4 linked regions of the Daphnia pulex genome follow. The protein of the gene in region 4 interacts with the protein of the main gene of each other region in a pairwise test. Links are inferred from orthologs where the notes say so. Each region holds a gene or a part of one and is shown on either strand. Other genes may lie near its edges. The genes, in order: cullin-5-like, WW domain-containing adapter protein with coiled-coil-like, dynactin subunit 2-like and huntingtin-like.

The links.
Region 1: the proteins of huntingtin-like (region 4) and cullin-5-like interact in binary tests that used the Homo sapiens proteins (3 or more experiments, as listed by UniProt). The link is inferred for Daphnia pulex from reciprocal best matches to the Homo sapiens genes HTT and CUL5.
Region 2: the proteins of huntingtin-like (region 4) and WW domain-containing adapter protein with coiled-coil-like interact in binary tests that used the Homo sapiens proteins (3 or more experiments, as listed by UniProt). The link is inferred for Daphnia pulex from reciprocal best matches to the Homo sapiens genes HTT and WAC.
Region 3: the proteins of huntingtin-like (region 4) and dynactin subunit 2-like interact in binary tests that used the Homo sapiens proteins (3 or more experiments, as listed by UniProt). The link is inferred for Daphnia pulex from reciprocal best matches to the Homo sapiens genes HTT and DCTN2.

What each region holds. Positions count from the first base shown.
Region 1 is NC_060021.1:665,359-673,336, forward strand, and holds cullin-5-like, read right to left. Parts: upstream 5,445-7,978; 5' UTR 5,311-5,444; coding exon 5,290-5,310; intron 5,120-5,289; coding exon 4,910-5,119; intron 4,827-4,909; coding exon 4,638-4,826; intron 4,571-4,637; coding exon 4,429-4,570; intron 4,368-4,428; coding exon 4,153-4,367; intron 4,087-4,152; coding exon 3,993-4,086; intron 3,914-3,992; coding exon 3,783-3,913; intron 3,718-3,782; coding exon 3,550-3,717; intron 3,456-3,549; coding exon 3,306-3,455; intron 3,212-3,305; coding exon 3,087-3,211; intron 3,028-3,086; coding exon 2,897-3,027; intron 2,833-2,896; coding exon 2,660-2,832; intron 2,520-2,659; coding exon 2,358-2,519; intron 2,270-2,357; coding exon 2,151-2,269; intron 2,085-2,150; coding exon 1,961-2,084; intron 1,895-1,960; coding exon 1,700-1,894; 3' UTR 1,533-1,699; downstream 1-1,532. Other genes in the region: dystrobrevin alpha-like, read right to left, coding at 1-22; sorting nexin-12-like, read left to right, coding at 627-785, 897-992, 1,057-1,181, 1,241-1,346; glycosyltransferase 25 family member-like, read left to right, coding at 7,319-7,512. UniProt on the Homo sapiens protein: Core component of multiple cullin-5-RING E3 ubiquitin-protein ligase complexes (ECS complexes, also named CRL5 complexes), which mediate the ubiquitination and subsequent proteasomal degradation of target proteins.
Region 2 is NC_060020.1:4,240,335-4,248,458, reverse strand, and holds WW domain-containing adapter protein with coiled-coil-like, read right to left. Parts: upstream 4,661-8,124; 5' UTR 4,475-4,660; coding exon 4,434-4,474; intron 4,306-4,433; coding exon 4,272-4,305; intron 3,680-4,271; coding exon 2,998-3,679; intron 2,828-2,997; coding exon 2,593-2,827; intron 2,497-2,592; coding exon 2,291-2,496; intron 2,219-2,290; coding exon 1,922-2,218; intron 1,810-1,921; coding exon 1,649-1,809; intron 1,570-1,648; coding exon 1,442-1,569; intron 1,369-1,441; coding exon 1,296-1,368; 3' UTR 713-1,295; downstream 1-712. Other genes in the region: 39S ribosomal protein L10, mitochondrial-like, read right to left, coding at 5,440-5,678, 5,738-5,936, 6,008-6,118, 6,179-6,310, 6,379-6,446, 6,521-6,563.
Region 3 is NC_060027.1:505,940-513,705, reverse strand, and holds dynactin subunit 2-like, read right to left. Parts: upstream 4,416-7,766; 5' UTR 4,291-4,415; coding exon 4,255-4,290; intron 4,194-4,254; coding exon 4,125-4,193; intron 4,062-4,124; coding exon 3,922-4,061; intron 3,865-3,921; coding exon 3,756-3,864; intron 3,701-3,755; coding exon 3,573-3,700; intron 3,517-3,572; coding exon 3,315-3,516; intron 3,246-3,314; coding exon 3,147-3,245; intron 3,065-3,146; coding exon 2,975-3,064; intron 2,914-2,974; coding exon 2,811-2,913; intron 2,743-2,810; coding exon 2,570-2,742; 3' UTR 2,483-2,569; downstream 1-2,482. Other genes in the region: probable serine hydrolase, read right to left, coding at 5,060-5,663, 5,734-5,854, 5,921-6,052, 6,150-6,225; uncharacterized protein LOC124207240, read right to left, coding at 7,110-7,766. UniProt on the Homo sapiens protein: Part of the dynactin complex that activates the molecular motor dynein for ultra-processive transport along microtubules. In the dynactin soulder domain, binds the ACTR1A filament and acts as a molecular ruler to determine the length.
Region 4 is NC_060020.1:1,037,123-1,045,338, reverse strand, and holds the start of huntingtin-like, read right to left. Parts: upstream 4,637-8,216; 5' UTR 4,572-4,636; coding exon 4,305-4,571; intron 4,231-4,304; coding exon 4,106-4,230; intron 4,044-4,105; coding exon 3,748-4,043; intron 3,691-3,747; coding exon 3,488-3,690; intron 3,429-3,487; coding exon 3,248-3,428; intron 3,183-3,247; coding exon 2,911-3,182; intron 2,832-2,910; coding exon 2,618-2,831; intron 2,551-2,617; coding exon 2,125-2,550; intron 2,053-2,124; coding exon 1,730-2,052; intron 1,665-1,729; coding exon 1,469-1,664; intron 1,406-1,468; coding exon 1,008-1,405; intron 944-1,007; coding exon 758-943; intron 681-757; coding exon 499-680; intron 441-498; coding exon 314-440; intron 252-313; coding exon 91-251; intron 24-90; coding exon 1-23. Other genes in the region: uncharacterized protein LOC124192637, read right to left, coding at 5,627-5,796, 5,882-6,052, 6,120-6,246, 6,323-6,479, 6,712-7,139, 7,203-7,271; SEC23-interacting protein-like, read left to right, coding at 4,998-5,013, 8,028-8,216.

The sequences.
Region 1 (7,978 bases), on a different chromosome or scaffold from region 4:
CGTTGTACATTCTTTTATGCATTGCAAAATGATACAGGAAACGTCAGTAGTTAAAATGGTTAGGATTACGATGTCGAGAAAAAATATTCGGCAAACGTTCACGATTAAATGTCTATGACAGGTGTAAAATGAAGTTCTACCCCAATCTACCTGTTCACACCATCAAACAAAACTTGAAACTACGTTTTGTTCAGTTTCAAATGACAGTAGGCTGAGTTGCCACACTCTGATTATGGGAATTAACGCCCTAACAAACTTAAAAAAAAAAAAAAAAAGAAAATAGTCCTTGGGCTTGAAGTCCTTAAGCATTGGTTATCTAAAAATTTAACACCCTAAATATATTAGTAAATATTAAAAACTATTTGTTTTGTTCTTTCAAAATATTTGAATTGCACAATTTTTTTTTCACGACTTGTGTGGGGCTTCACTGAGTTCACTCGTCTGTCGTAAGAGTTGTTTGACGTTTAATGGTTAACATAAGTTCCTGAGTGTGGGAGGTGTTTTTTTTCTCTGCAGAACGGAACTCGTCTTACCGTTTGAAATCTGTAGGTTCTACTATTGATACGTCTATTTTTCAGCACATTGTAAAAGAACGAAATAACATGAAGAGATTTTCTTTGTAGATTATGGATAACACAGAAGCAACTAGACGATTGCATACCAAAAAGCAAACTTTGGACGACGCATATGCCGCCCCTGCCAATTTTTTGGAAATCGACGTAATAAATCCTATTACTCACGGTGTTGCAAAAAAACGATACACGGATTATGAAGTCCGAATGAGGGTAAGTGCAATTTGCATTTTGCTAAATGTCATGAATTGAATGACGTGCCTTTTTTCTTTTGCAATGTTGTTAAAGTTGTGTGTAATCAATGTTGACCATTATTTTTCCCAGACAAATTTGCCTGTTTTTAAGATCAAAGAGTCCAGTGTGAGGCGAAGGTACTCAGACTTTGAGTGGTTAAGAAGTGAGCTTGAGAGAGACAGCAAAGTATGAATCTTGACATAAGGAAGAGATTATGGATTTTAATACCGGTTCAAATTTTTTTTTTCAGATTGTGGTTCCACCTCTACCTGGAAAAGCAATCAAACGCCAGCTCCCATTTAGAAATGATGATGGTATCTATGATGAAGAATTCATTGAAGACAGGCGTAAATCTCTTGAAGGATTTGTGAACAAGTGTGTTTCTATATTAACATTCAAGCATCACAACCTAAACTTACTCAAATAATTTACAGAATTGCAGGACATCCGCTAGCACAGAATGAACGCTGCCTCCATATGTTTCTCCAAGAGCCAGTGATTGATAAGAACTATGTACCAGGCAAGATCCGACCTAACTAACTTGTGGTTATACCAGATGAAAGTTGTCACTCATTCCTTCATTACCTGTTTCTCTTTAACATCCTCTTTCCCTTCTGTTGGTTATAATGAATTTATCGTGAATACATTCGTAGCGTCTTTAAAACTGTCAGTGCTATAAAATTGTGAAGATCTGAATTGTTCCGTCAACGCGATTACACTGCATCATGACATCGCCGATCGCAATTTTATTTTTATCGAAAATATTTACACGACAGGATTTTGGCTTGACCAAGGAATAAGTAAGGAGTTAAGAGAAATTGCAAAAGAGAAGAAAGATGTACATATGAAACTTAATTAGATTCAACTGTACAGTTTCAGTAATATTGTTATTATTAGGCTAGATAAATAAAGGTATTAATATCCTTTTCAGAACGTTTCATGTAACGATGTTCTATCAGCCACTCCACTTGTTCTTTTATCATTTTCTTCGAGGGGATGAAAAGATTCTTCAAAATTTCAACAAGCTCAGTTTGCAACTGGGCATTGCTAATCTGTTTCCTCATTTTCAGAATTTTGACTATAGCCTCCTGAAAACGTAAATGACCAAATTTATAAGGTTAACGATACTAAATTTTGTTGAAATTCTTTTATACCTGAGTGCGCAAAATGCGCAACTGTACAATGCCTTCGTTTTCTTCTTCTTTACTTTTCTCGGTAGACAGCTGGAGACGACCAATTAAATTAATCTTACCCCGCTTTTGAACTTTTCCATTTTTTCTGCGATTGAAACATATAGATTTAATTTTTTAATTAATATAAACTACGATTTAAAAAAAGACGTACATTAGACTGAAGTCTTGATTGACAGAAAAAATAGAGTTTTCAGTGAAATCTCTTGCGGATTGGACTTCCGGTTGGCATATTAACAACTGTCGTTTCAGTTTTGGAAAAGCCACCAAAGACTGAAAAACCATGTCATTCCATAAAATCAAATGTGAATAATTATTCCAATTCTAAACATTTGTAAACAATTTTAAAACATTTGTATACCCCAAGAGTTCGTCGAAGTTCCGCATCAGGCAACTCAGTTGCTAAACGCAAGTTTTCAAGAGAAATTTTTTCTTTCGGTCGTTCGTTCCACGCAAATAGGACAGCCATTTGAAATGTTGTAACATCCAGATCAAATCTTCCAACTGAATTGGCAAACTGAATCTAAAATGAAATACAAGGTTTAGAATCGGCTGCACTCGGTATTAAGTAACGATAATCACATATTCGGTGATTGATTATTTCTTCCAAAGATCTGGATGTGAAGAATTTTAAATAATTTATAAATTATAAGGAAGACTCACAGTTCCATTTGACATATGATGATGCCACTGAAGTTTTCGTCCACTATGCTTTTTCCTGTAGAAATCTTCCACTTCTGGTATGTAGTCTTCTAACTCCAACGGCAACGACACTGTCACTCGGTCAGATCCACGAGCCCAAGCTCCAGCATTCAGGATTTTAATGTTAATCGAGTCTGGTAATCGTTTAAAAAAATTAATCTTTATGTTAACTTATGCGCCCTTTCTATGAGGTATTACCAGCAATGCTTCCTTTGGTCTTCCTATATTCCTCTTTGAATTGTTGATTCAAGTCTTCGCTGATCTTGATATCTTGGAACATACGGGCAAGCTTGTGAACATAGTCGGCTGGCATGCCAACTTCTCTCAACCTTTTTCATGAAAATAATTGTAAAAAATGCAAAATGAACGTAAAAATTAGTTAGTGTACCATTCAACCATGTTTTCTTCTTTTTCGCTGTCAGCTGAGGTGTCCAAGATCAATCTTCTAGTTAAATGCGCTTTGTGGAACCGCATGAACACATCTTTGTTTTGAACGTATTTCAGAACAAGTAGCTAAATGGCAACAAATGAAGCATATGAATAATTATTTAATCAAACGAAAACATTACTATGCTAGCGTGACAACACCAACTTTTTTTTATCTTACCACATCCTTTAGTTTGCTTTCAATTTCATCGGAAGTGAGTTTTTTGCTTAAAGGTGTCTTACGCAGAAGCATGTCACAGAAATTAGCTAGCAGCTCTGGGCAACGAGATTCAGGTTGGGTTTTGACTCCTCCACTGGAGCCAGGTCCTTGCTGAAAACACAATTTTAATTTTAAAGTGTTAGTTTAATGTCAACGGAAAAATTTTTTTGGCATAAAGCAAAGGTAAACAGAAACAGGAAATTACCAATCGAGTGGGTAAATCTAATCGAAAGACTGAAGTATCATTCACAACATGTTTATAAGCTTTATCACGAGCAGTAAGGAACCGCGGGTCATCGTCGAAAGCTTCCTTAACCAAGAGGCTAAACTGATTGAACAGTGTCAAAAGTCGTTCCACATATTTTTCAGAATCCTACCAATAGCATTAAAAAATTATGAATGAGTCATGAAGACATTAACACTAGTCTATCAATGTACTTGAGTAATTAATTCAGCTGCCACCATCATATCCGCCAATCCTGCGTGAATAATGTGATCTTCTAAATATTTTAGCATAGGTGCAATTCCATCGGAGACTCGATCCATCAACCGGAACATCATACGCAATTCTGTGATTAAAAATTTAAATGTTACTCAAACTCCACCTACGACACTGTAAATTTTCAATATTAAATGTGGTAAACATACTTTGAGTTTCGTCTTGCTTAATCATAGAAGAACATTCAGCTAGAATGGTTTCCTTGAAGGCTGTCACCAAGACATTTACGCAACATCCGTTAAGCTTGAAAGAAAGATTTAAAAAAATTATAACCAAATCTTAAAATAAGTAATAAAAAGCCATTAGTACAGTAGCAATGGAACACGATTCTAGATATTTATTGGCTCGCTGCTCCTCTTCGCGTAGTTTCGATTCTGCGTATCTCATGTAATTCTGAACACCATTGATTTCCAAATATTGAGGAGCTTTCAACTTGTAAAAAGCTTCGGTGGAATCTATATAAGCCCTCTCAAAGTTATCCATATAAATGGTCAACTTATCTTCAGAATTTGAACAAAGGTTAACTGCAGGAAGTAAGTAAATATTAAGCAGTTGAAACAATATCTTGCCATAGAAATGTTTTACCATAGGACTCTCTCACTCCAATGACCAACTGTGAGTCAAAGGCTTCTCCATTTCTTTCAGCATGGACTAATTTCATTGCTGAGTCTTGTAATCGGTTTTTAATGTTGGAGAAAATACTAAAGTTCCAGGAATCCAACATTAGCTAAAACACAGAAACAAAATATTTATCAAAAAACAAGTTATTCATTAAAAATGTATTTATTGTTTACCTTTCTGACTAGACTGTCATCAGTGTTTTGCTGGGGCTTTTTCTGTATTGAGTTGTGTGTTTTACCTTGAAGTGCAGTTTCAAGCTGGAAGAAAGGCATGGGCAAATATGAGCACTGGGTAAAAAATTTACGCCATTCACTGATGTAAGCCCTCAACAGTGACTGGTCTTCTTCATGAGTTAGTACTCTCTGATATAAACAAAGAGGATTAATAGATGCATCTCAATTATTTTAATCATTTACACCGATTGCAACAGGAATATGTAACTTACTGTCTGTGCTTGCTTGATGAATTCCAGAATATCATCCTGCAATGCCTTGTACATTTTGGCATGTGATTTTTCATCCCACAAACACACCATGTGTACAGACCAAAACAGTTCATGCCATTCAGCTCGACTAACAGGCTCTTGACGTAACAGTTTCAAAATTGTTGGTCTCATAAGAGGCCATTGTTCTTCAAATACCAATTGTCCTTTATCCTTAAAAGTAAGAAAACATATTTTAATTGGTTAATGTTGATGCGATATATTTCGATCGACGAATTTGTTGATGAGGTTATGAATCATGACACTACTTGCAAGTGCATAATCTAAAGACTTGATATTTCTTTCTCATAACAAATAAAAACATTTACTAGTTCTTTATTTACCTTCCACATTGATGCTGCCATTTCTATTTCTTGATGGTCTAGCCGTTTTTCAGTGCTCCTGTTCTTAACATCGGCTCACACACACACTCTACCAGTAGGCTGTCGAAGTTAACCGGTTAATCGGAATACCGGACTGAAGCCCCGTCTTGCCACGACATCTGCCATGACCTTTTTGAATTTTGATTTTTTAACGAGCGCCAATGAGCGCATAGAAACGGGCTTGGATTTATTGCTTTGTTTGATTCTTCATCTATTTGTGTGGTAACGACCACTGACTAGTGAATCAAGAACATAAGCGACACAAGTATTTAAAACTAATTAGTAAAAATTTTGTCGCTGACTTTTTATTATGTCTCGTAGTTAAAGATTTCGAATTTATATTAATTTCGTTGAGATCTGAGTCTTATCTATCATCTATCCGGATGGATCGAGGAATTTATCTGTGGCTAAAATGTGTCTCTCATATTTATCCAACATTTAGTAAGTACTCTTGCAACCAGTAGATGGTGGGCAGCTCATCATGGCTGTTGCGTCAATGCTACATTAATATGTTATGGCTACTATCCCAGTTCCCAGGCTATCCCCGTCTGTTCTTCCACTTCACGTTATTTCCTCGTTTACTCATGATAAAAGCGTACGTGAGACGCATTTGGCCAAGTATACTTGCAGGACCGGCTACAGCTTATAATTAAACTGCAACTGGTAGTGAATGTGATAATTGATGTGGCATTCAACATTATTATTATACGCACGTATCAAGGTTACTTTGATCACAAGCTGCTTTGATAGTACGCAAACAAAACAGTCAATTTCCGCACTCCCTTTCAATTGCTTGCTGCAGGCTACTCAATCTCTATAAATAGTTGTTTTTCCTCTTTCCAAGGCTTAATCTCGATATGACCTTACAAAAATGATTTCCAAAACAAAAATGTTAACATTACATATCAAAAGAAAACGCCGATGAGTACTACATCAGAAGAGTTAAATTTTTCTGCTGCTGATGTTCTTATCAAGATCCTATAAAACTACGCGGACTATTTTGTTTTCATTATTCGACAATCGCTAAAAGCAAAAATGCAAATGAGCATTGAAGATATTTTCGTCCGTATTCAAGCCTCGTTCTCCATTTTTTTTTAAAAACCTTATAAAGAAGAATTGCGTCAATCTTGTATAATGTCTGGCTTTCCAAGAGCAGTCAGAATTGCCCAGTACGAATGTAACCGCAAATTTTTGTAATCAAGAACGTACCATGTCGAATCATCCACCCGTCTCGCATGTCATAAACAAAAATTTTTGTTTTCGCTTAAATAAATCGGAATCTACTATTTGAGAAATGCATTTTTTTTAAAATCGAATTATCTCTTATTTGATTTTCCCACCCCCCGCATCAAATTTTCCAGAAAACGCTGGAACCGTGTAAAGAGAACTAGAGAAGCTTTTCCAATGTTTAGATTTCTCTTTTTCTTTTATATTCTCCTCAGAGACAGATGCCCCGGTCAGCGTCCGGCTTTTTTAATATGTGTGTGTTACGCTATGTGTTCACATAAGCCAGCAGAAGTCGCACAGAAACGGCGCTAGAGTTCGTTTCCGATTTCTATAACATTCCTACATCATCTTGTGGATATTTCTGATATATTCAAAATCGGGAAAACTCACGATCAAGAGTTAATAAATTTCAAAAATTAAACTTGGTCGAGTAAGAGTCGTGTAAACCGCTGCTTTCACTTGATATCGTGTTGTATAAATGGGGGAAAAGCTCACACGACGGAATGATTAGAAATTGCGCGGACTCTTTGTTTCTAAACAAATCGTCCCAGACTCCCGTCTTCTGTTGTCGACAGTCTCGAGGGGTGCGTCAAAAAGTTTTTCTAAACGTGGACGGAGGGGGGAAATCGTTGCAGCAGATGTAAAATTCCTTATCAGACATAGATCGTATTTCGTGCACTCTACCCTTGAGAAACATTTGAGTCCTAGTCCCGACTTCATTCTTACTCGTGGCGTCAACGTGGCAGCTCGCTTCCTTAAGAGAATGAGAACGTCCATCGGGGAGTTTATTACAGTGGGACTTTGCGTCTTTTTATTTGCAAGCTGCACACAGGCCACCTTTCGCGATGATCCCACTGTTCTCGTTACTTTGCTCGTCAGAAACAAAGCTCACACCCTACCCTATTTCTTAAAATTATTCGAAGAGTTGGACTACCCCAAAAATAGATTGACATTATGGTAAAGTGTTGATTATTCTTCAAAAATTTTTCTCTCCATCTTTTCCTCTTGTTCCAATGTTTCTTAATTGTGTCCATTCTTTTTAACAATGTTGGTGAGTGGCTTTTTCTATACTGCTCAGCGATGATCTTGTTTTATTCTGGGTGAAAGTGGATGGCCGTACATGTGTGTAGGAAGACCTACTTAAACTTTCTAGAATTTCCAAGCCCAGACCATGGCGTATTACTTTTATCAATGCTTCGTTGGTGAAGGAAGTCATTTAAAACATTTGCTCTAAAACTTTCCTTTGTCTATGACACTGCCCACACAGCGTTTATAAAAATAAATGGAAGCTTCCTCTATCTGTGTACCCTTCATGGTGGACTAGTAATACAAACAAAAAAATGTTGCATGAAACCGCTGACTCACATATTTCATATAATAATGTCAATTAATAACACAATTTTTGATGTTGATTTGTCAACAT
Region 2 (8,124 bases), about 3.2 Mb from region 4:
CTCAATTAACACGAACCCCCGAAAAATAAATCAAGGGCGACAGAGGATAGAGCCAGTTTAAACAAAACGGGATTCGTACTGGTCGTAATAACGCAGTATTCCTTAAAAATTATCAGAATAAAAAAGGATAGAAAAAAATATTTAAAAATAATAATAAAAAAAAAAAATTAATTCGATAACATATCAACGATACAATACACAGGTCGTGCAGGATCTCCATTCGTCACCCTCGGTTTAAAATACGCAACTTCTGCTTTTGAGACTTAAATCGAGTTGGCGAAGACGCACTTAACTTATTTATAAGAAGTGGAAACAGGGAGGCAGCACCGCAGGAACATCCGAAGGAAGGGGGGGAATAGGACAGGCAGGAGAAGTTGTAGAGAATCACGCAATCGACCCCAGATCCTTCTTTAATTGTTTCGCGGGGTTAGAGCCGGTAGCTGAGATGCACTGTTTTCTTGGTGTGTTCTTTATTCTTGGCTTGGTACGAGTCGGATTGGACTTGTAAAGGGAGTAAAGTCGACGAATGATAAATGATAAGACACAGAAAAATCCATCGAGAATGCAGAATTGAAAATTGCAACCAACAGAATGATAGCCATAGGCTGCAGCATCACTTAAAACAAAAATATTGGGCTCAAAACCAGCCCAGAAATAAAATTGATACGAAAATCAACTTTGTTTAAGAGCAGATAGTCTTGTTCTTTTCCACTTCTTTTTTTAAACACCCAATAAGGGCGACACGAACATCACACTTCAACGTCGAAATAAGCGGACGAAATATGTTTTTTTCTCCAGGAAGGGCGAAAATTTTATACAGAAAAGGGAGGAAAATTATAAACTGCGTCACAGACAAAAAAAGAAAGAAATCGGGTGGGAAACAATACAAACGAGGGAGTAGGCCAAGACAACAAAACTAATTCGGAGCGAATGGAAAAATTGGCAATTAAATCTTTTTTTTTTGTTGTTTTTGTTTACGGACCCGACCAGTAGAAACTACAGAATTACATGAGAATAAATACAGCTTCTGTCACTGACAGGCTCGTCTTTTGTTATCTTACTGATGAGATACCAACATCCTTCTGAGTCGCAATGCATTCAACGCAGCACACACGTGCCTTCAACGGCCGGCTTTTGATGTGTTACTTCGCCCCGAAAGAATCGATAGAAAGAGAAAAAAGTTTTCACCGAGGAAATACAAAACGGTTCCGCGAGAGTAAAAAAAAAAATATTATTCTGGTTTTAAGACGAAAGAAAATCGAGCTAGCTATTTTTTCCTCCAGCAGAGAAAAAATTTAGTCCGACATAAAATGATTGGGCGGCTTTAATTCCTCCAACTCCTTCATCTGTTGTCTTAAGAAGAGAATCCTGCTTTCCCAAACGAAATAATTTCAGTTAGGGTCAGGATTAACTTAAAATGAAAGAAAATCGTTGCACGTACCGTTGCTCCTGCAGAGTGGCTTGAATATCAGCTACTCGGACCAAAGACCGCGCCATCTTCAGTTCAGCCGATACTTTAGTTACATGAAGATTGCCAATGGTGTGCAGATCTTCGCTCACTTTCGTCGCCTTTGATTGAAAATTGAAACATTAAAAATACACACACACACACAAAATTTAAAGGTTTGCTTTGCTTTTAGATATTTACCTGTTTTTCTAACAGCTCCGCGGGCCATCCGGTCACGTGAGAAATCAAATCCGGTCTATAATGGGAGGCTAGTGAAGGTGTTAAAGCATGGCTGGATGCAGCAGATGGCCGTAAACTTGCCGCTGCCGCCGAGAGGGAACTTAAACTTGTCGCTGGGCTCCCTAATTAGCAATTTAAAAAAAAATTAGAACTGATTACGACCGTTAAATTACTTTTTAACAGAAGCCGACCAAAATAATAAATTTAAAAATTAAAAAAAATACTCTTCCTTACAAACAAGGTCGGATCGGATAGTCGAATTACCTCGACGAAAATCTGCTTCAAGTCTTTCCGAATGAGTTGGCGTAGGAGGTCCGTTGGCAGGATCACCTTCCAGGGGCGTCGGAGCGGAAAGACCATGACAACCGTCCGTTAGGTGTGAAGAAGATACTCCTAACGAATTCATGTTCTTTGGTAGTGTCGCCACATTCGAGGCGGGAACAGCAATCTGTGAAGAAGAGAGCAGCGTCTGCAAGGACTGCAAGACTTCGTGTGCTGGAAGCTCCATGTGTTCCAAATTTTGTAGCGAACCTTGATGAACAAAAATTTCGAAACGTCAATTCACATTCAATACAAACTTTCCCACACCGTTTCATAAATTACCTAGAGCAGTGATATTCCCCATTCTTCCGAGAGTAGCCGTAAGCATAGACTGTATCGCAGGATTGATGGCAGTTCCTGAGACAGATGATCGAGTTAACTGGGTTAAAAGCTGTTGGAGGGATGATAGACTGGTCGTTGTAGCAGTCGACGTCGTCGTCGGCATGGAGGAGCCAGCCTGTAACGGCGACATCAAACTAGGAGCCCGACTAGAATCAAAGCGAAGACAAATAACAAGGTAATCCTTCTCATCTAACAACATCGAATTCTTTGATCAGCACAAGCTGACGAAGACAACAAATTACCTTGTCGAGGCATTTGGAGTTTGAGAGGAGGGTCTTATGAGTTGAATTGGAGTGCTGGTCGGTGGATGAGACAGTAGACGTGGCAGAGCAGTAGCTAATGAAACAGGTGCAGCAGAACCAGCGGTCGGAGTTAACCGTGGGTCAGGCGTGTAAGGTGTGGCGACTTTTGGTCCGGAGGCCTCGGAAGTCGGCGTGCTATCCGCCGGGGAAATGTCCATATCTTGGCTAGGTCGTTCTAAACGAGACAATTAACCTTGTTCAACAATTGCAACACTTTGACCGAATGGAAATCAACGTTAAAAAGGTTTGAAACACCAGATTGCATACTAGATAATAAGCCAACATGATAAGTTACCAAGTTCGGTAAGAGTTTAACTAGTTTTGTTCATTCATTATACAACATACCGTAGCTGTGTCTTCTGGACTGCGGCTGTTCCGGCACCGATGGCGGAGGCTGATGAGTTCTATGATTATCTCGATTCTCCGTTGAACGAGATGATGCCACATTGCTACTACTGCCACTGCTATTGTTGTTACTATTCGACATAGTACCAGAACGACTAAAATTGGAATGTCTTTCAGACGGGCCACTACTACTGTTACGAGACGACGAATAGGATTGCCGGTCGTACTTTCGTTCGCGATCACGATCCCTATCACGTCTGTAGCGCTCTCTGTCGCGCTCATGTTCCTTTTCCTTCTCCCAATCAACCCAGTCGCGAGGTTTCTCCCACTGAGAGACTTCCGTTTTACAATTGTAGTAATATTTCTTTCCCGACGAGCTGACGTGTTCTGTCCAATCACCGACTCGTTGAGGCTTTTCCTCTGTGGATCCTCGATCGTGGTTATTGCGTCTATCTGAGTCTCTTGGTCGCTCTCTTTCACGAGGAGACCGATTGTCTCTGTCTCTCTCCTTATCCCGTATCCGTTGCGTATAAGATCCTTTGTGCACATAGCTTCTGTCTCTGGGGCTATCACCAAAAGAGTTGGGGCTATCAGAACGTAGCCCTGTCCCGTTAGGCGAGTCGCGTGTTCGATCATTGTATCGATCATAGTTTCCTTTGGAATTACTATACTTGGTACTAGCCTGTCATAACAGAAAAAACAATGATTAATAATGTAACAATAACAAAATAAAAATTTGATATAAACAATGAGAAATCTGCACTTCTACAACTGAAACACTTCCTAAACCAAGTATGGTTGTAACAAATATATCACTACTGTATTGTCCAATGTAGCTGTCATTTGCTTTGAGTGCCCTTTGTTTACAGATGTGGTTAGAGAAAAAATTTCCTAGCCAATCAAATAAAGATGAATCCCATAAATTACTTTCGAGAAGTTCACTAAAACTAGACAGAGAATCCTTACTTAACATTCAAACCAAGAAGAAAGAAGGATAAGTCATTTACTTGTAGGTTTGGCTACCATTGTTTACCAAATGGCATTGAGAACACAGAATAACAACATAATGATTTTTCAAAAGAATATTCATTGAGGATTCTGAATCTCATAGTAAACAACTTATAAAACTTGTTAATTCTATAAGATAGAAAAAGAATATTAAAGAAAATTCAATTTGACTACTATAAACTATGATGTTCACTAAAGTGTTTCTGATTGTTTACGAATCATCTTTTCTCAGTTTAAAAGTTTACTTCATTTTACCAGTACTTTACCTGGTAAGGGTGGGACTGATGTTTATCGAAATACCTGAAACGAAAATAAAAAAAAAACGTCAATAAAAACAAAATAAGTTACAACAAATATGGCGGAATCAACTGTCACGAATTTTGTTTTACTTGGGAACTCGGCTACATTGTACAAAAAAAAAATCTTACCCATCATCCAGTCTTGGTAGTTTTCTAGCATGCATTACCATCAATGCAATGATCTACAAGAGATTAGATTTAGAGCTGAAACAGCTCTTTCTTCTACGAAACGAGTTTACGAAATTTAAGTTTAAGTGTTTCCAAAAAGGCCAGACGCCATATAACATCCGGGCTCCCTCACTCAAGACACAGCATTGCCACTTTACTATAAACAGTCCTCCAGAGGGCGATATCTTTTTACACAGCATTGTCACATTCACTAATTAAAACTTGGATGTGCAAATGTTCATGTGCGCTATTTTGCAATTTTTGCTCTCTATCGGTCTTCTATATCAATGTCATCTCTTATTAGACAGTAGTTGTCTACTCACTCTCGATGTGTAGTGTAAGTGGAAACGTCACATTTTTAGGGAAATACCCAATACCAATACTAGTAGTAGTGTTGTCGATCTGTCAAAAGATTGTAGGATGTTGAAGTTAGGAGAAACTCGTAATTTAAGAATATTTGAAACATTTTATTCCCCCGTGTTGCACCGTGCGTAGGATAATTAAGTAAAACCACCTTTGAGTTCATTTTTATTTATTCTTATTGTATTTTTCTATTTTAGTAAAAGTTACTGATGTGACTGATCCTGCACAGTGCACACACATTGATTGAATTGTGTAGAAATCTCATAAACATTGTATACAGAATCTTGCCCTTCTCAAATGCTAGCTTAGTAAGTCATTATTCAAGGCCATGGATAATTTTCCTTTCTTTGACAACTGCCATTTAAAAATCTAGTATAACTTTGCTATTCTTTGTATGGCAATTTTGTACTAATGCCATTTAGAACATAGTTTGAAAACTAAAAAAATTTTAATGAAATAAGAGAAAAATGGCTGATAAAAAAATACATAACTGTATTTTTGGGGGGTTAGGGTGGGTAGCTTCCAATTGAATAGATGTTTTAAAATCAGGCAAGTTTTTTAAACACTGTATTAATCTTCTCTAATGTATCTGCAATACACTTTTTTAGCTTGTTCCATCAGCAGATGTTTCACTTCCATCAGTAGATGTTTCACTATCTTTTTTTACAAGCTGTTCCAGAGACTGTGTTAATTGCTGCTGTTGATATGTCAGGGATTGGCTCAATTGAATTGTGTGTGAGGACAGGATTGAACAGAGCTCAGCACGCAGCATGTTTATATCTGGTAAAGTGGCAACCCATTGCAGCTGACTTTTGGTGATTAACCTGCCTTGGACTACACCAGCTAAAATGAGAAAGAAATATTAGACTACATCAACACACCTTAGTCAAATTTGTGCTTACCTAAAAGAACCAAGTGATTCATTTTCTTGACAAATTTAAGAAGTTTAGGTACATGAAGGTCTTTACTGCACAAATAGGCAGTTTTCCCTTCATGTAATCTTAGAACAGGCTCAAACTCTGTTCCAGCCAGAGCCAAAGTGGCAATTTTTCTACTTCCAAAGACCATTTTCATGTTGTGACCATGTATCATTTGTTTAATCTAGATATTAGAAGTATTAGTGTATTGGTATTCAACAAAATGCAGAAAATAAAATAAATAAATATTCTAACCTTAATTAGCTCATATGCTTTAGAGGAATTTTCATGAAAAACAGCAATCAGCTGTGATTCGGCGAATTTCTTATAAAACTCTTTGGCCAAAAGTTCCTCATACTTGGAAGTCTGAATACAAATAATATTAATGGAAATGCTGATGTGACTTAAAAAGTAAAACTTTGTTACCTCTTCCTTTTCTTTAGTTTGCCAAATATTGCCACACTTTTCGAACCATGGTTTGTCCATCTGGGGATCTGGGTATATGGGCTCAAGGGCAGCTTTGAATCTTGCTTTGACATAATGATCTGGAATAGGTCTCTGTTGTGAGTAATAAGGTCATGTTAGTAAAATCTAATGGAAATACAAAATCAAGTGCACAATATTACTTGGATATTTGGTTTTCTTGTTCTCCATCTAATTGCAGTCGTCGTAGGTATCCAGGGCTTCAACAGTCCTACAAATTACAATAAATTAGAACATGTAGCATTTTAACAACAAGAATAAAAATGATTCTTATTCAAGACTTACTTTGCAGATTTATGAGCCTGGTAGTGGATTCAATGACAGACATGATTCTGCCTTATTTTTTAAAAAATTACCTTAACCACGATTATTTGAGAAACAAATCAAGTGCAAAGCAGACGACGATTGGCACTGATATTGATAGTGGCATAGTCACTTATTTGTCTACTAGATGTCGATTCGAGTGGCGCCATTTGAAAAAGAATTTTTAACTGCAGAAGTCGTGTAATCGAGATTTTAGTTTGATAGAGATTAATGGTTAAAAACAGTATATGATTACGAATATGATTATATTCATAAATAAATAAAATCATGTTTTATTACTTCTTTTTGGCACGAATTTGCGCACTGTTTGTGCAATTACAAACATTGTCCTACAATAAAGGATGAAAATCCTGGCCTTCCTTGGGTGTTGGTGGCGAAAATTTAAGTGGAATCCATCCGATTACTATTACATATTTTATTCTAAAAAAAATAGAAAGCTAATTGGCAAAAAGAAATAGAAAAATAGGAAAGACTGGAATGAGTCTGAATTCCATCTTGTACGTAATCAACTGGTTGTCCGATTTTAGACAGTAGAATCAAAATGCCAAATTTATTTCTGGTGTCACGGAGGGAATGTCAATGAACCGGAAAATGACTACTCTATGCCCAATTTTCGACCCATTGCCAACGTAACGACGTGATGACGAATTGCATACCTGTTAGATTCGCCTAAACCGATCCAGTTTATGGATGTTCTCGTTGATTGTCGCTATCGATTAAACCAAATACGACACGGATGAGTCACCGATTCGACACAGGAAACTTCTTTTTTTACCTTTTTTACTTTTATTTTTTTGTCGACTGTCGACCGACATGATTGGACGCGAGAGGCTGCGATGTATATTAGCGTCCGGCGCAGCATAGTCAAGAAGAGGGCGTCATCGACAGATTAGCCTGGCTCATTCGCACACGTGCCCCGAATGCTCACGTTAGCCTTTTCGTATGCGCCAGGACACACACACACTCACAAAAAGGACGTAAATGGGAAGGAAACCAGCCAAAAAGAGAGGCTGGCACACAGCCGGGCGAGCGCTTGCTCGCTCATTATAGGGCAATTCAGTCCGCGCGATGCTGGACACACCTTTGGCTGGAAGAAGAAGAAGAAGAAGAAAAAAAATAAACAAGTTGGAGCGCCAGGTGTGGGGTCGCTCTCGTGTTGTGTTTGTACAGTTGCCCAAGTGATCTGACTCTCTCTACTACACACATCCCCATAGGGGCCTACTACCTCTCCTATAAATGTCGGTCCTCCTAGTTTTTCGACTTTCCAATCGGCGCTCGGGGGGAAATAAAAAATGTCGATCGCCGATTTTCTGCTGTCCACCTCGGAATCTTTGAGCTTTTTTATTTTTGTATTTTTAACAGAATTAAAAAAATCCCTTGTAAGCTCTGGCTGGCTGATGTCGCACTCAAAAGGCTCGATCCTTCTTTCTTTTATGATCGCCTGAATGAAATGATTTCCCATCCGGCGACTCCACCCATCTCATGTCCAAATCGAGTCCGGGTTGTTGCCCAATCGGGCCAACTCCAACCGGACTAGATAATAAAACCAAGTAAAAGACGAGCAA
Region 3 (7,766 bases), on a different chromosome or scaffold from region 4:
ATCAGTTACGGTTTAATACTCTGAAGCCTTGGTGGTGTAGCACTTGGGGGCCTCAGTGTAGCATCCGGTTGTTGCGTATGTTGTTGTTGAAGTCCGCCGCACCCAGGAGAAATCGGCACACCAGTGGTCGATCCAGCCATCGACGATACGACACCCAACAGCAGCACGACGCCATAGTTCCCTAGACAATTAATAAATTTTAACATTTAATTTCCTATTATGGTACTGGTTTATTAACAAATAGAAATAAAGTATAGTTGATTCAGTACCCTATGGGGAAATTTTACCTTCATTTAAAACTTGTGATACGACGAAGAATGAAGTTGATGACAAAAAGTGCACGGCAGTTCCTGTTGCTGTGACGGAGATGTTCACTCGGCTGCTGAATTATTTCACCTTTTCTCTCCTCTCATACTACTAGGCAATGAATAATTTGTATATTTTGTTCTTGGCATAATAAAACTCCACTTAACAGAATATTTACCCATGATATGTGGTTGTGTAGTACTACGGTGCTTTGGTGGTGTAGTACTTTGGAGCATCCGTGTAGTAATCGACCCTTTGGTAGTGTAGCTCGGGGAAGAAAAATACTGCGGGGATTCGGTGTAGTAGCTCAGGGCTGCATAAGTTGTTATATATTAACCTGGAGCCTTGGTGCAATACTTAAAGGCCTTGGTGTAGCAACTGGTCGTGTCGTATGTTGTGTAATAGTGGCGGCGTTGCGATTTGTTATCCGCCATACCCAGGAGACATCGCTACACCAGTGGCTGAACCAGCCATCAACGATACAAGACCCAACAGCAGCACGACGCCATAGTTTACTAGACAATTAAAAATTTGAACATTAATATGAAATTATAACTGGCATGTTAACACATAGAAATTTGATTCACAACTCCATGTAAAAATGTTTACCCATGATATCAAACTGGCAATGCGATGAAGAATGCAGTTGGTAAAGATAAGTGTGTAAAGTGTATAAATGTAAAGAAGAGCACAGTTGGTAACGAGTAACGACTAGTAACTGGTAACAGCACGGCGCCATAATTAACTAGAAACTTTAAAAAAATTTAACTTTAATATTTAATTATAGTACTGGGATATCAACATATAGAAAAAAGTGGAATGATTAACAACGTTAAAAACTACAGGTTAGAAACAGAATATCTACCCATGATTAAAACTGGTAACGCGAAGAAGAATGCAGCTGGTGACAAATGGTGCACTGCTGCTCTTGCATATCGGAGATGTTCACTCGACTGATTTCTATCGCCTTTTCTTTGCCCCTATACACGACTAGACATTGAATAATTTAAATATTAATGCGCAAAAATAACTGGCATATTAACAAAGAGAAAACGCAATAGAAATTGATACATGACTCCATGTAACAACAGAAAATTTACCTATGATTGAGAACTGATAATACGATGAAGAATGCAGCTGATGGCAAATAGCGCACTGCAGCTCTTACCGTGTCGGAGGTACTCGCTCGACTGATCCCTGTCGATTTTTCTCTCTCCTTTTATACGACTTTTTCTCACCCCTCCTCTTAAGCCTTGCGGTTATTTTACCTTCTTGATAATGATGTAAAATGTCCCGTTCTCGCCCAACCTCTACACCACTGCATGACACGTTTTACGTAAAGATCTCCATGACCTTCGATTGAAATGCAAACTGGCCTTTCCTTTTGCAGGTGACGTTGCTGGGGATGGGTCTACAAAAACCAAAATCAAAATGAATACCAAATAGTTTACCTTTGCGGCTTTTGTACCTGCTTTGATAATGACGAAACACGTGTTATTCTCACCCAACCTCTACACCACCGCATGCCAGTTTTACGTAATGATCTCCGTGACCTTCGAGAGTGAAGGAAATGCAAACTCGCCTTTCCTTCTTTAGGTTGACGTTGCTGGGGATGGGTCTACAAAAATCAAAATGAATACCAAATAGCTTACCCTTGCGGCTATTGACCCTGCTTTGATAATGACGAAACACTGTTATTCTCACCCAACCTCTACACCACCGCATTGATAGTTTTACACGTAATGTTTCCCGCGACCTTCAAGCGAGAAGGACATCCTATCTGGACAAACTGGCCAACCTGTCTGCAGGTTGATTTGCATGCAAAAAATCACAGCGAAGATATGCAAAAAAAATGTAACGAATCTAAAATTCCTCACACATGTTGACTGCAAAGTTACCTCGAGTATGAGTGAGGATTCCCCAGAGTCAGGTGATAAAAACTGCGGCTAGTGAGCTAAGTTCTAGTGGCAATTATAAGAGATACCTACGTATATACTTACGCGTAGAGTACGGACCGTACTCTAATTGTAACCGTACTGTACGGTTGCAATTTACAAATAACCGATGGCAACGAAATCCAACTGTCTTTTGAAACTGTTTGACGGGAAAGCGTAGCCTGTACTCCTGTTTTAAAGTGTCTGAGTTAACACATCGCACTAATAAAAATACATCACACTTTGGTAATCATTCATTTTATGGTAAATTTTTGACAATAAGTTGAATCAAATTATAGATAAGAGATTAGGTAAATAAGACAACAACTTCACTTGCGTGACAGTTTATCATCTAATTTTTGAATAGAAGCTTTCATTGCTTGGACATTTGTAGACAATCCTTCTTGGATATCCGTTAATAGCTGAAGTTGATTTTGGATTGCCAGATCTAAGTTGGATTGCATACTTTCGACTTGGCCGATAGTTTGGGAAAAGTTGACAGCTATGAAATAAATAATTTTTAAATGAAATTAAAACTAACCATCAAATATGTTTGTTTTAAATAGTTACCGCCATCATGGAGCACTTTCAAAGAAGACAAACGATCAACAACTGAAGGTAATAGAGATATCAAAGGCTCTAGCTGCTTCACAACTTCATACAGTTCTTTAACCTACCAATAGCAATGTAAAAATTTTTATTATAATCACTGATCAATCGATAAAATTACATACCATTCTTGATACATTGCTGTCTTCAATGGGTCCATGTTCCTTGGCTATGCCATTAAGTTTAGACATCAAGACAGCAAGACGACCTTCAACCTAATGGTCAACAAATATTTATATGGCTGTCAATTTGTCACTGGTACATAACTAAAAAATACTCAATAATTAGTGCAATTACCTGGTCTAGGTGAGCTGGTTCTAAAAGAGCTACCTTGGAACATATTGATCTAACAGCATCACTCACACATTTTTGCCCAGTTTCCGCACAAAGCTGATTCTAAAAGTAAAAATTAAACATCAGTGGTTTCACTTCAAAATAATGAAAAGAAGTTTAACAAAAGGTTACCATCTTATCAGGGACCCCAAATAAACTTTCCAGTTTTTCCAGTCTCTGTAGCATATTGGCTTCTTTGGAAGCAAGATCTAGCTTAATCTGTTGTGGTTTAAACTGCAACTGGTAAACAATCTTGGATGGGTCAGTTGTAGAAAGTTTGCCCTGATCATCACCTGCTGTTTTTCCAACAGTTTCCAGATCCTCAAAAATTTTTCTGTAATTAAAATCATTTAAATAAAGGGGTTTACACATTTATTAATAATCTGTAACCTTTTTGTAGAAAGCTCTGGTTTAGGGAAGCCAACTTCATCTATTTTAATTTCCATTAGTTGTTTCTGAAGAAATGCAACTTGCATGGCTAAGTTGCTAGGATCCCCTGATTCTTCAGATCCAGTAACCTAAATAATCAACAGCTCATTTACAATACACAGTTTAGAGTTTAAAGAATATTACAGATTGTTGAACTTCTTGTTGGAGTTCCACAACTTCACACTTGAGACGGTTTAGCTTTTCAATAGGAGATTCTTTTTCACCTTCTGCTTGCAACTCATATGGTCCATTCCTAGGATATAATTACAAATGTGTAAACCAAGACTAAAAAGAAATCTATTGTACCAACCAAGAAGTATAACCAGCATTGTGTTTTACACCAATCTTTCCCGAGAAATCTGCTTTCTGAGATGACAACCAGTGCCCTTGAAATTTTGCATAAGACTCTGTGACATTTGTATTGAGCTTTTCAACACAATCACTCTGATCCTACATTGTTATGTGATAATATTACCAGAATCTAATTTTTAGGCATGTAATAGTCTGGTTTACTTGGTTATTAAGGTTGGAGAATGACTCAGACACGTCTTCAGACTCATAATAATCAGGTTGGTCATACGCCTATTAGACGAAAATAACATCTTTAGCAATAAAAACACGTGATTTGATTATAACTGATTACGATTCCAGGCAGTGCGGCGTATTTGGGATCAGCCATTTTAAACAATTTTAGGAACACCTGTCGTCTGGAGTTGTCACAGAAAATTGACAAATAATTTACTTTGATAAACAGCAGAGTCCAACGCCCTACCTTTCCATCTGCCACTTCTGAGTCATAATAAGAAATTGGGTGTTTTTCAGCGCCTCTGTGGGCCGCAATCAGCACTAAGGAAAAGAAACCACAAATCCGAAAGAACCCGTCTACTTTTTTTTTTAAATCGAAAAACCGTCAGCCGTCAGTATCACACTGCATTCCTGCGCGATGCAATGATGAATATTGATGAATTAAATGAAATAACAGATAATTCCATATAGTATCGCATCTTGTATTTCTTGACTGTCTTGAAACCCTTTCCAAAAATAAATAAAATATCCGCTCTAGCCTAGTTGCAGTGTTGCACTCTTCGATGCTGTTCATGTTCAATTCATCACATAGAAAGATGATATCTAAAATCCAACGTATTACATCATTTCGTTATCTCAAACAATGATTGTAATCTATGTCTCAAAATTATCCCCCTCACCATAGAGCACTGACGTCATAAAAAAATCCAAGTTAGTCAGAGGAATAGAAATTTATATGTAAAATAATTCGACTTAATAATAACGTAGACTTTTAAATTTGTCATTACGACGTAACTAATGTACCTGTAAGTAGAAAAATTAGAGCGCAGAAGGGTTGCGAATATAACTCATTGCAAACAACCTGTATTTAACAACCTATGGGCGGTTTTGTTTAATTTGTGTGGCACAAATTCAAACCCGAATTAGAGTTTAGATTTCACAGGAAACAGAAAATTACTAATTATGGGAGCAACCAACTCTGGATGAGATAGATGGACGTGGTGTCTACCTTCAACTTCTACGTAACGAAAATCTTCGCTGGCATCGCGGTAGATATCGTAAAACTCCCGATACAATTCTTTTGGTTCAAACGTTGAAGTGTTTTTAGCTTTTATAAGCAAAAACGGACATACGATAGCACGAGCCACTGCTTTTAGCTGTTCAGTAGTAAAGTCATTAAAAAGATACGGACGAACGGTAGAGCGCAAATCGCGAGTGAATTCATATTCATCTTCGTCACTTAATTTACGCAAACCGCGCTTAAGAAGGACATCAGCATCTTTCTCGTCAATGGATCCACCGTAATTCTTGACAACTCTTTCGCGAGCATCCTCGTAAGACACAGATGATAAGGGTCCCTGTTGGAGTCTTTCAACAATTTCTTGAAAATTGGTTAAAACACCCTTCATACGAGCAGGTAGGTATTCAGCAGAGGATGAAAGTTGTTTGACTGCATCAAGGCTGATGAGCTTATCCACTAATTCTGAGTACATGGAAACAAAGAAAATGGCAGTAATTGCTCCCATGCTATATTCCAATAAATAAAAAGAATTTGATTAAAGAATTGTTTAACTTCAATGTCCAATTAAGTTAATACCTGTGTCCCAAAATGTTTACTTTTTTCCACTTGAAATAATCTATCACTAGTTTTACATGATAGACATGATCATAATAGTTGAGAAACATTCCTGGTGGGTAATGTGACGAAAGACCATGACCTAATTAAATGAGAAAATCTCAATACACGACAGATGAAACAATTATTAATATTTAGTTATTGTTACCACAAAAATCAAGGCAAACTAGTCTGATATTCGATGGAAGCAGAGGAGCAAGAGTGTCAAACGTTCCTGCATTATCCTGCCATCCATGAAGTGCCAAAACAGGAACACCATCATCAGGCCCCCATACCTTGGCTTAGTTAAAATAAATACAATGATAGTGTTTTCAAGTTTCTAATAAAAGTACTTAACAGTTCTTCTCCCTAAAACACTTCTATTCTTATATAACCACCTGCAAGGTATCCCCAAAGTGTTGGAATTTGAATTTCTTCTTTAAAAATCAGTCCTCGTTCAACCGTTGGTTCCATTGCGAGTTTTGATCCTTCACCAATTTCTGATAAACTAGTTGATTTAAGAAACGGCCCAAGCTATCATTATCACAACATGACTTTCAATTATTTATCTCCTGTGTCAGCCTGTCAGGTCCTTTGCACTGGTTCGTGAGTGTTGTAGACTTGTAGTCTGCATTGGCGTGAAGCAGACGAAATACCGAAATAAGCCAAGAAACCTAGGGACCAATCAGAAACTCGGATTCCTGTGATTGAACAACGTAAAATAGCAGCGGCTTCCTAGTTTTTGTAAAAAGGAAAAAAAAAAAAAAAAAAAACAGCTACATCTCCTTACTATGTCAGAACATTCATTTTACACATTTGATTGTTCAATGACATTTTATTTGGCGAAAACATTAAGTGGATTCGATTGTGTTGATTTATTCGAATCACCGAGATCTGTTGTGTGATTCTCAAACATTCTTTGAGAAATTCGGGATCGTAACGCATTGCACCGAACCAATCGTTTCTTCCAGGATTCACTGTTGCTTTGGACATCATTGTTTTCACAACTAGCTGTTCCTAAAAGTGAGTAATTCTTGGAAATTAACTAGGGAAATTATCGACTGTTTCAATTTTTTATTACTTTGGGCTTATTAGAAGCTTATTTATTTTTACATCAAGCGGCTATTCCAGTAAAGCTTCTTCCTTTCTTTGCGCAAACCATCCATGGTACCTGAAAGAGCCAGAAATTCAAAGATAAATGTTTAAGGATTATTCAAGGAAGTATTCCAATAATAATTTACCTCAACTTGCTAGACATTGCTCATTTCAGCGTTCGCTCGGTGGAACGCAGCTTCAATTTGTAATCTTCTTTCGAATTTTTCAATTTCTTGGTTGTCTGGTTATTTCTTGGTTATCTTCTAATAATCTATAAAACGGCGGCATGATGAACATAAATTGGAACCAGCTATTTCCATGCGCATTTTTGAGCGCCACAAATTGCCTTCCTTGTTACGAGCACATTTATCCGTCACTTCGACATCTGCTAGCGAATCATCCACGATTCCTTGACATATTTTTCGGTGATGGAAATCTTCAAGAATTTTGGCTAATTCAGCTTTACTTCGAAACTCTAATTGGATATCCTGAGGCGTAATTGGTTTTGCATTCAGATACAACGCAACTTTGTTCATGGTGATAATCTTCACAGATTTGATAGTCATCACTCCGTCATGGGAAAAAAAATGACAAGAACACACTAGATTGTTGTTTCGTTCGTTGAAAGACCAAGTCCATTCAGCTGTAGGAGTAGCGACACCTTCAATGAAGTTGTGGTAACCTGCCATATCCAAATGAAGACTTTCCTCCTCATTCACAGTAGGGGTCGAAGAAGAACGAAGAACGTAATTGTGATCAGATTCATATGGGGCAGCATTTTCTTGTGGTTCCTGAGATGTAGCTGATTGGGAATTGTGCGATGTAGATGACGCAGCAGCGCTCTCGCCTGGAGAAGTAGGTAATCTTGGAGGTACCAGTACGTAGCTGTGGTCTAATAACTTGCAAGACGCAGAAGAACT
Region 4 (8,216 bases):
AGGGCAACAGAGTTTCGACTTGCCTGATAAAAGATTAAAATGAAAATGGTCAAATCAATACCAATAAAAAAAAGATCAACTAGCACTTACGGTATGAAACCTTCTTCTAGAAACTCAAACTGTTGGATGACAAAATTGAGAAAAACCTGGTCGGCATCGAGAAGGCAGTAGTTGACGCAAAGATGGATCAATTCGCAAAGAAGATCCAAAACTTGCTTTTGAACTAGTGGACAGCTTGTGACGGTGTACAACTTTGATGAAAAACTTATGTTATTAGTAGAAATACGGACACACGCGAATGGCTAAAACTCACCTTCAAGGCCTTGATGACCATCGGCTCAAATAAGCGAATATAAGAAGTCAAGGCAGTTTTATCAGGGCCAATTTTGTTTATAGAAGTTCGAAATTTGGTTATCAGATTTGGCCTTTCATTGTTTCGGCTAAAAAATGAATTTAAATAGAAAACGAGAAGAAATAAAATGTTTTAACAAAACTTACTTGAAATTCATTTGACGTCCAGCACTGTTATACAATAATTCATCTAATCCACAACTCGAGTAAATGCTCTCGTCACATTTCACTGTTGGTTGCAAACTTGAAGAAATTGCGCTTCTTTTAAATCGGGCTGCTTCGTCAAACCAGACAGCTGCTAAATTGGCTCCAAAAAGCGCTTTAAGTAACTGAAGATTGATTCACAAAAGAATTTTGAAATCAATATTCTATTAGGGTTATTTTTTAACAAAGAAAAAAATACAACCTGTTGAACGTTGCGCAAACAGTAGACTGGTTCAGCTGTAATAATGATGCGTAAATAATTGAGAATCTCCTCGCTGTGTTTTCCAATATCTTGGAAAATGGAAACTTCAATTAGAGCGGCTAGCAATTCCAAAGTAGATTGGATAAAATTCGACAAGCGTTCCGAGGTAATCGTATCAAAATTCAGCTATAGTTGTGAAAATAAATATTTACTATACAAAAAAAAAATGTACAGCCCCAATAATACATACTTTGCAAGTGGCGTGCGTACTCTTCAGTAAATCGTAAAGTTTCACGTAGAGAGGTTGAGCAGCAAAAAACCCGACATTACTTGGATTAAGCAAATGTGGTTTGTTCTTACGGCCGGACTCATCTGACTTATCTTCTTTATCTGAGATTAAACTTTCAGTGCTTCGAAGTTTGCGACGTATTGGACTTAACGCGGACGGGTTTGGAAGCGTCACCAATGGTACTTTAATTGAAACCAGTAATGGATTGACATCATCAAGAACACAGCAGAATGCATTTAATATACGGGTAGCATGACCCAATAGGCAAGACGCCGTAGCAGACGAAGGGCCCTTTAGAAAACGCCAATCTTTAAAATCTTTCTCTAATTGGGGTTCGTTTAAACCTGCTTTCACACATCCTATTCCAAGAAATATTGAATGTAGAAGAAATTAATGAGAAAGAAATTAAATGAGAAAAAAACCTGCAAAGAGCTGAGTGGCAAGTGTGATTAGGGTCTGGTGTGTTACTAGATCCAACATCAACGTAGAGTTTGTCAGGAGTGCCATGCATACTTTCAAGAGACTGCAATTTCCTTTTGAGCTACAGCCGTAAACTTCCAAGTACGTAGCGGGAGGATAAGAACAGCTCAAGGTAGACAAACTTTGCAGGCAGCCCATCTGAAATCGAACAACAACAATTTTATTTTCAAATTTTGTGCATTATTAGTAAATAATTGTAATACCTTGACAAACTTTGAATTGGAAGAAACAAGTAGTTGAAATATCTCATCGACAAAATAAGCTAAGTTGACAGAGACGTTCTGGTTCAATGAAACATCCCAATAGGCTTCTGCCAATCCATTGATAGATAGGGGGACACCAGCAAAAGTCTTTACATGCAGTTTTTGTGGAGTTGAACCACTGACAGATGCCAACCATTTAGCGCGAGTAATATTTGAAGGACTTCTTCCTACAGTCCATGACTCCATCAAGCAAGTAAGACAATTTGCTACCGCGCTTCGGACTCGATGATCTTCGTCGCCGATCATTGTAAATAAAAATTTATCTGTTGAAACAATAATTAATATAAACAAAAAATTTCAGAGCAATTTTAAATAATAAAACTAGTCGGACTTACTTAGGAAACACTCTTGGAACTTCGGCAATTTGAAATTTGTTTGATTCTGGAGCCCAAATTCCAAGGCTGTCCAGGAAAACGAACCAAACACTTCTAAGAGATCTACTCTTACCAGCCAATAAGGATTTTCCGAGAGTTTTAACAATGAACGTAAAAGCGGTACAGTTTCCACGCAAAATGGGCCTTCTAAGGCCATAGGTAGGAAGTGCTGTAGACCTTGAAGAGCAAGGCGAGAAGCAGCTGTCTCTTTATCAATTAGAGTTTCATCAATGATGCGAACGAGGGTTCTTTTTTCAACGCTGGTTAAATCAAATCCACCAATTACATTGCTGAGCACCATGCACGCCAGCAGAGCCACTTGCCCTCTTAATTGTGGGTCATCGTGTGTGCTATACTGGAGAACATCAATTATCGCGATTTTCCCATCTTTACTTGGAAAACGTGCAAAATAGTTAAATACTTGTTTTAACATTTCATTAATGTTTAATACCACCTGTGTCTGATAAGTGCGAATTCCAAATGAGAGGCTCCAGTGATCCAATGTGCGCCAAGCAATTGAGGGCTAGACTTTTTACTGAAACACGAACAGATCGATCCGACTTGATTTGGCCTTTTCTTTCGGAAAGCAAGAAACTGTAAGATAAATGGCGGGCGCAGTAAAGAAGGGGGGATACTGTTTTATCATACAGCGTTCCTATGTCGATTGCCTGTAATTGCGTTGAAAGAACACATATTTCAGGTGAGGAAAATAACGAAAAAAAAAAACGATCCGAACACACGTTATACCTGTGGGGCATCAATGACGTCACAGTTTTCTGGCTCAACATCAGTTTCTTCCAGTTCTTTCTCTGAAGCCAATACATCGGTTTCGTTTAAAGTCAAACTTTTTGAAAAATCTTCTCTTTCGTCGACTGAAAGTGCAGCAATCGAATCTTCTGCAATTTCTACGTCACTTTCAGTTGAATCCATGCTCGTCTTTTCGAATTCGCCCAGATGAACTTCCGCCTCCAAGAGAAGAGACTCTTCCGCAACTGGAAGCGCAGTCAAGTTCCACTGACCTAAATATACAACACGGATGAAGATCAGATAGGTACAATTTAAGAGATTTAAGAATCAGGCTAACTGTTTTCTTTGGATAATCCTCTTAGAGAAATTCGAGTCCCTTGTAATCCATTTACACTTTTTAGGGAGGGAATCGCTAGGATAAGGGACCGCATCTTCAGCAATTGTTGTAGGAGTTCTAACGCTGCGTTAACAACATTATGATCCGAAGAGAAAGAATAGTGAACTCCAAGCTCAAATATCTGCCCAAAAGTATCGAATTAATTTTAAATCAAGATAAAGTAAAATTAAGGTGACATACCTGAACAATACGTTCTAAAGCCACGGCGTTCAAGCTGGTAGTGATTTTAGGAAGACTAACTGACAGGTGTTTAGTATTCAAATTTTCATTTGTTTGATTAGATGATAATTGAAAAAGAGGAAGAAGCAATTTTAGAGTTAGCAAAGTTCCTATAATCACTGGTGTATCTGTCATGGAAATATCATCAGGCAAAAGGATTTGATCTAAAAACCAAACAAGAATACAATAATGCAATCATTATAAAGTCTCAACGCGCATACCTGTTAAATATTCCACAACCAGTGCCAACAAAATATCACTTTTTCTGTTTGTAGATATTATTACTGTGATGGCATTGGCTGCACATCTTCTTATAATAGAAGAACTAGAAGATAAATTTGCTAGAAATCCTTTTAACAGAATCTTTGTTTCATTTTCATAAGCAAATATTCCCATAACATTAAAGACTTTGCAAACAAAATTAGACAAGCTTTCATGAAGCATCTCTTCCTTGCGATTGGCAATTGTTGATATGGCATTAAAAAGATTTGCTATGTATGCACGTCTTTTCTGAGGCCTGTAAAAGTGCAACATTTAACTAGAATTGTTTCAATGTTGGAATCAAAACATGAAAAATACCGAGCTAGATGGCAAAGTTCGGCAAATCTAGTCATAGACAACTTCAATATACGAGGAGATTCACTTTTTTTTATCTGCTTGCATAATTCTACTAGAATCCTGTTACTATGCAATGGAAGAAGTGCCTACAAATAAACCAAATTATAACAATAATTCAATAATTGTCAGAAACCAATTAACAAAATAACAGATGATAAACCTTGATGACTTTATACAATCCTTCATCACTTGCTAGTCGAATGTCAGAATCCTTGGAATCACACAGTCTAATGAGGGAATCAATACTCGGACCGATGTACGAGACAAAATCTTTGTGGTTTTGAACGTTAAGACTATTGTTAAATTCAACAATGTTTTGTAGATGTGTTCTCAGTTCTTTTTTCTTTACATGGTTATCAGAATTTGAATTTTCTACAATCTGCAATTGTTCAAGGGCTCTAATAAGTCTTTCTAGAGAAGCCATCATCAACAACTCGAACAACACACGAAATCTTCCGCGGTATTCTGAGACTCACGATCAGCTGTCAATCCCACGTTTCAGTGTTAAATTGTTTCTAGTATTTGAAAAGGTTTCGCGTAGAAAAAATACATTCGATACCAAAATTCGGTTAGCTTATTAATAATTATTTCTCAAATAAATCTATGCTTACAAAAAAATCACAGAACATGAAAACAAAAATGGAATGGAATTTAAAAAACAGATAAAAACATCTTTATTCAAAGTCTGGCATCGTCTTCTCATTTCGTAAACAAAATATAGAGCAGAAGGAAATAAAAAATTGTAGGACAGCCGGACAACGGGGGTAAAAGTCTATATATTCTTTGACTCTCGTGAGTCAAATAGTGACTCATTTCGTGAAAGAAAACAGTACAAAACTCTTACCCAACGAAAATGATGGAAAGCACAAGTAAGTTAAATTTTATAGATTCATTGTTATAAATGTTCCACGTAAAAGTCGTAGAAAATAACCGTTATGAGGAAAAATTTCCAGTCGACTAACTATACTCAACAGAGAGGGATAAATATATCACCTCAGAAACAAAAATAGTTATTTAAGCATTACTTTAAATCATTCAACATTGAAATGGGATTACTACGCACAAACTAGCCTTGTTTTATATGAAAAAAATCAAATGAATGAACAGGGAACAGGAAATATAATAGAAAACACTAGCTGCTAGTAGTTATGTGATACATGCAGACAAACTATTCAATAAAATAAGGAAAATTTATGGCTCTGTTATAAACAGATGCATTGGTTTGAATTTAACATGGATATCTCTTTCTCTGTGAACATTGTCATAAAAATGTTTGTCCTTTTTTCTAAATCCTAATGCAATATCTTAAGACATTAAGTGAGCCACCACCTGTGTTTGGTTCAGTCCCTACTTTCTATTTGCATAGTGTGGTTATCCGAATCAGCCCCATCTTTTGAATCACCTTTACTAGTTGTCACCAACTGTTGTAACAGTAATTGAAAGATCTTTGGGCTTTGACCTTTTGGGACTGAACCGTGCTAGTCACGCTTGATCCTTTTTACTCCTCGGAATTGGTGCCGTTTTTATTGATCTTTCCTTTCTCCGTCTACAGCACCTACAAATGGCCAGGATAATGATAACTAGAAGCAGGATTAGTAGTATAACTCCAAGAGTGATGGCAGCTACATCTCCAGAGCTAAGATAAATGGAATCTGCAAGAAAAAAAAATCCGTCAGTTTCGATCAATAGAGCATTGGTATTCGTGGTAGGCGTCAGTTTTTTTTTTCTTCAAGTTACATTGATCGGCTCGACAGGTGGCTGTATTTCCGCGAACGTCAACTGCCGTAATATCAACTCCAGTTGTGCAGCAAGAAACACTTTGCTCTACAGCAATCGATTCGTTAGTGCCAATTATGAAATCCTCCCCTAGAAAACGCCCATCAGGTTTGATGCTGACGGACAGTAACCCTAGCAAATAACAGGGAAATCAGATTATAGCGAGAATAGCCCAGTATAAAACTTTATTTTTAAATACCCGCTTCTGTATCTTGAATCTCTGCTCTCATGTTCCAATATCGACTTGCGCAAATTGATTCATCCAGATAACTGTCGCAGCGAGTCACTGTTCTGATTGTGCACCAAGGAGCCCATTTTTCTCCTGGCTTAAAAAATTATGTTTAAATGTAATTTAGTTTAATCCGTTTCTCTCCGCAAAAATCTACAAAACTGAACTGTTACCTCTGATTTCGTGCGAATATAAACCTGTCTCCGCGAGATAGCATTGTCAGTCCGCCGCTGCACGATGATCGTCAGTGTAGATACAACGTTATTTGCATAATGGGGAACTCGAATCCTTCCTGGAACAGCTAGCGTTTGTCCCGGACCCAATTGTATCCTGTGTGTCAATTTTGAAAAGAAGGAAAGATAGAACTAGACCAAGTACAAAGTAAAAACAAGAAGCGTCGAATTGGGTCAGATTGAACAATTAAACGGATGATTGGACGAAACACAATGATGTAACGTGACGGACGGAGGAAGGATGTGAGAGTGAAACGGAAGTATCGTCAGCCAAAACAGGTGTGGACAGTCTTTATAAAACACTGTCTGCCCAAAATTGAATGACATACTGAGCGTAGTCGAATTGGATGAAAAAGTTTTTGTCGTCGCCTCCGCTGAGGAGAAAGAAATCGCCTACGCCGTCGTTTTTGAGCAGCACTATAATGCGCCCATCTGTTCCGGGTGGCACGTACAGTTGCGACGCCTGATCAATATTGATGCGGACAGGCGAGAAAAACACCTGTGAAGCCCCGCCGCCCACAAGTGCTCCCGCAGTCCCCGTGTTGACGATAGGCGATGCAACAGGATTGAGAATCGGTGCGGCGTTGACGATGCCGCCGTTTCGAATCGGAGCTGAAGCCAATAAAGACGTGATTATATTGCGGATGAAATAAGTAGACACGTCTGAGAAGATCTTACGGAGGTTATTAGGTGGCGGGACGGCGATGCGACCTGACGCCTGATCGTTTTGACTCGTCGAGACTAAATCCACTTCATCCTGTATAGGAAAACGTTATATAAAAACCAATTTTAAACGCTTTCATCTTGAGGTGAATCTTACTTTTTCGGTTGGGAAGAAAGTCGACCCGAAGGCTAGCGAAACCAACGCCAAACCGATCACGAGTTTCATTTTGTTGACGATTGGTCGTTCGTCAGTCACCAGTCAACTCGTGTGATTCAAATGCCACGTCCGTGCGTACTCTGAGCCCCGATCTGGGGCTGCTAATGAATATATATACACGCGGGAGAGAGACTAAGGGAGGTATAGACTCTTACCTCGGTGGCCTTATCACTACAGGACGTTATATATTGTCGCGAGGGCGTCGTTTTTCTTTTTTCGTCGACATCTACTCGGACAAAACCAAACAAACCGACTGATTGGTCGGCCTTTCAACTGATGTGGCAGCGTCCAAGAAAAACAATGCAACTCAAATACGGCGGAGAATTACCATAAACTCGCTATCGCAATCGGACGCATTTGGAAAAGCAATCACACAGCACAACCCCCTTCGTTTATCGTTGAGTCAACAGGGAGCGGAACCACGGGTGGTCCACAAAAGAAAACAAGAGCGACACGGGCAGCAGAGCTTGCAGCACGTTCACCGGATGTCGACGCCATATAGCGCAATGCTCAGTTGTAGGGTCCCGTCTGAAATATATATTTCAAACGGGGACTGTAGTATTTGCTCTCCCTTTATTTTATTTGTCACCAAACAACATTACTGTATCTTTTCTGTAATATTTTGGGGTTTTGTTGTCGCATTGTTTTTTTAACAGCTGGCCTTTTCCGGTGCTTTGTGGCAGCCTCTCTTTATTCTGTACACATTCTTGTAGTGCCATATGCAATCGTGGGATGAAGAAGTAACCGTATCGTTTGTTTATTTAGGTGAATCGGAATGCATTGCCATTGGAATGAAACCGACCTCCGCCTCGCTGGTCGATGTTGATTCGACTACAACTGCCCCGGAAGTTTCGGATGCCGTTGACGGCATCTCTCACACTTACCAGCCCGTCGTCTGGCACTGGTTCTTCCTCAAAGAGATTGACAAAACCAAACGGATATGGAAACCCTTTA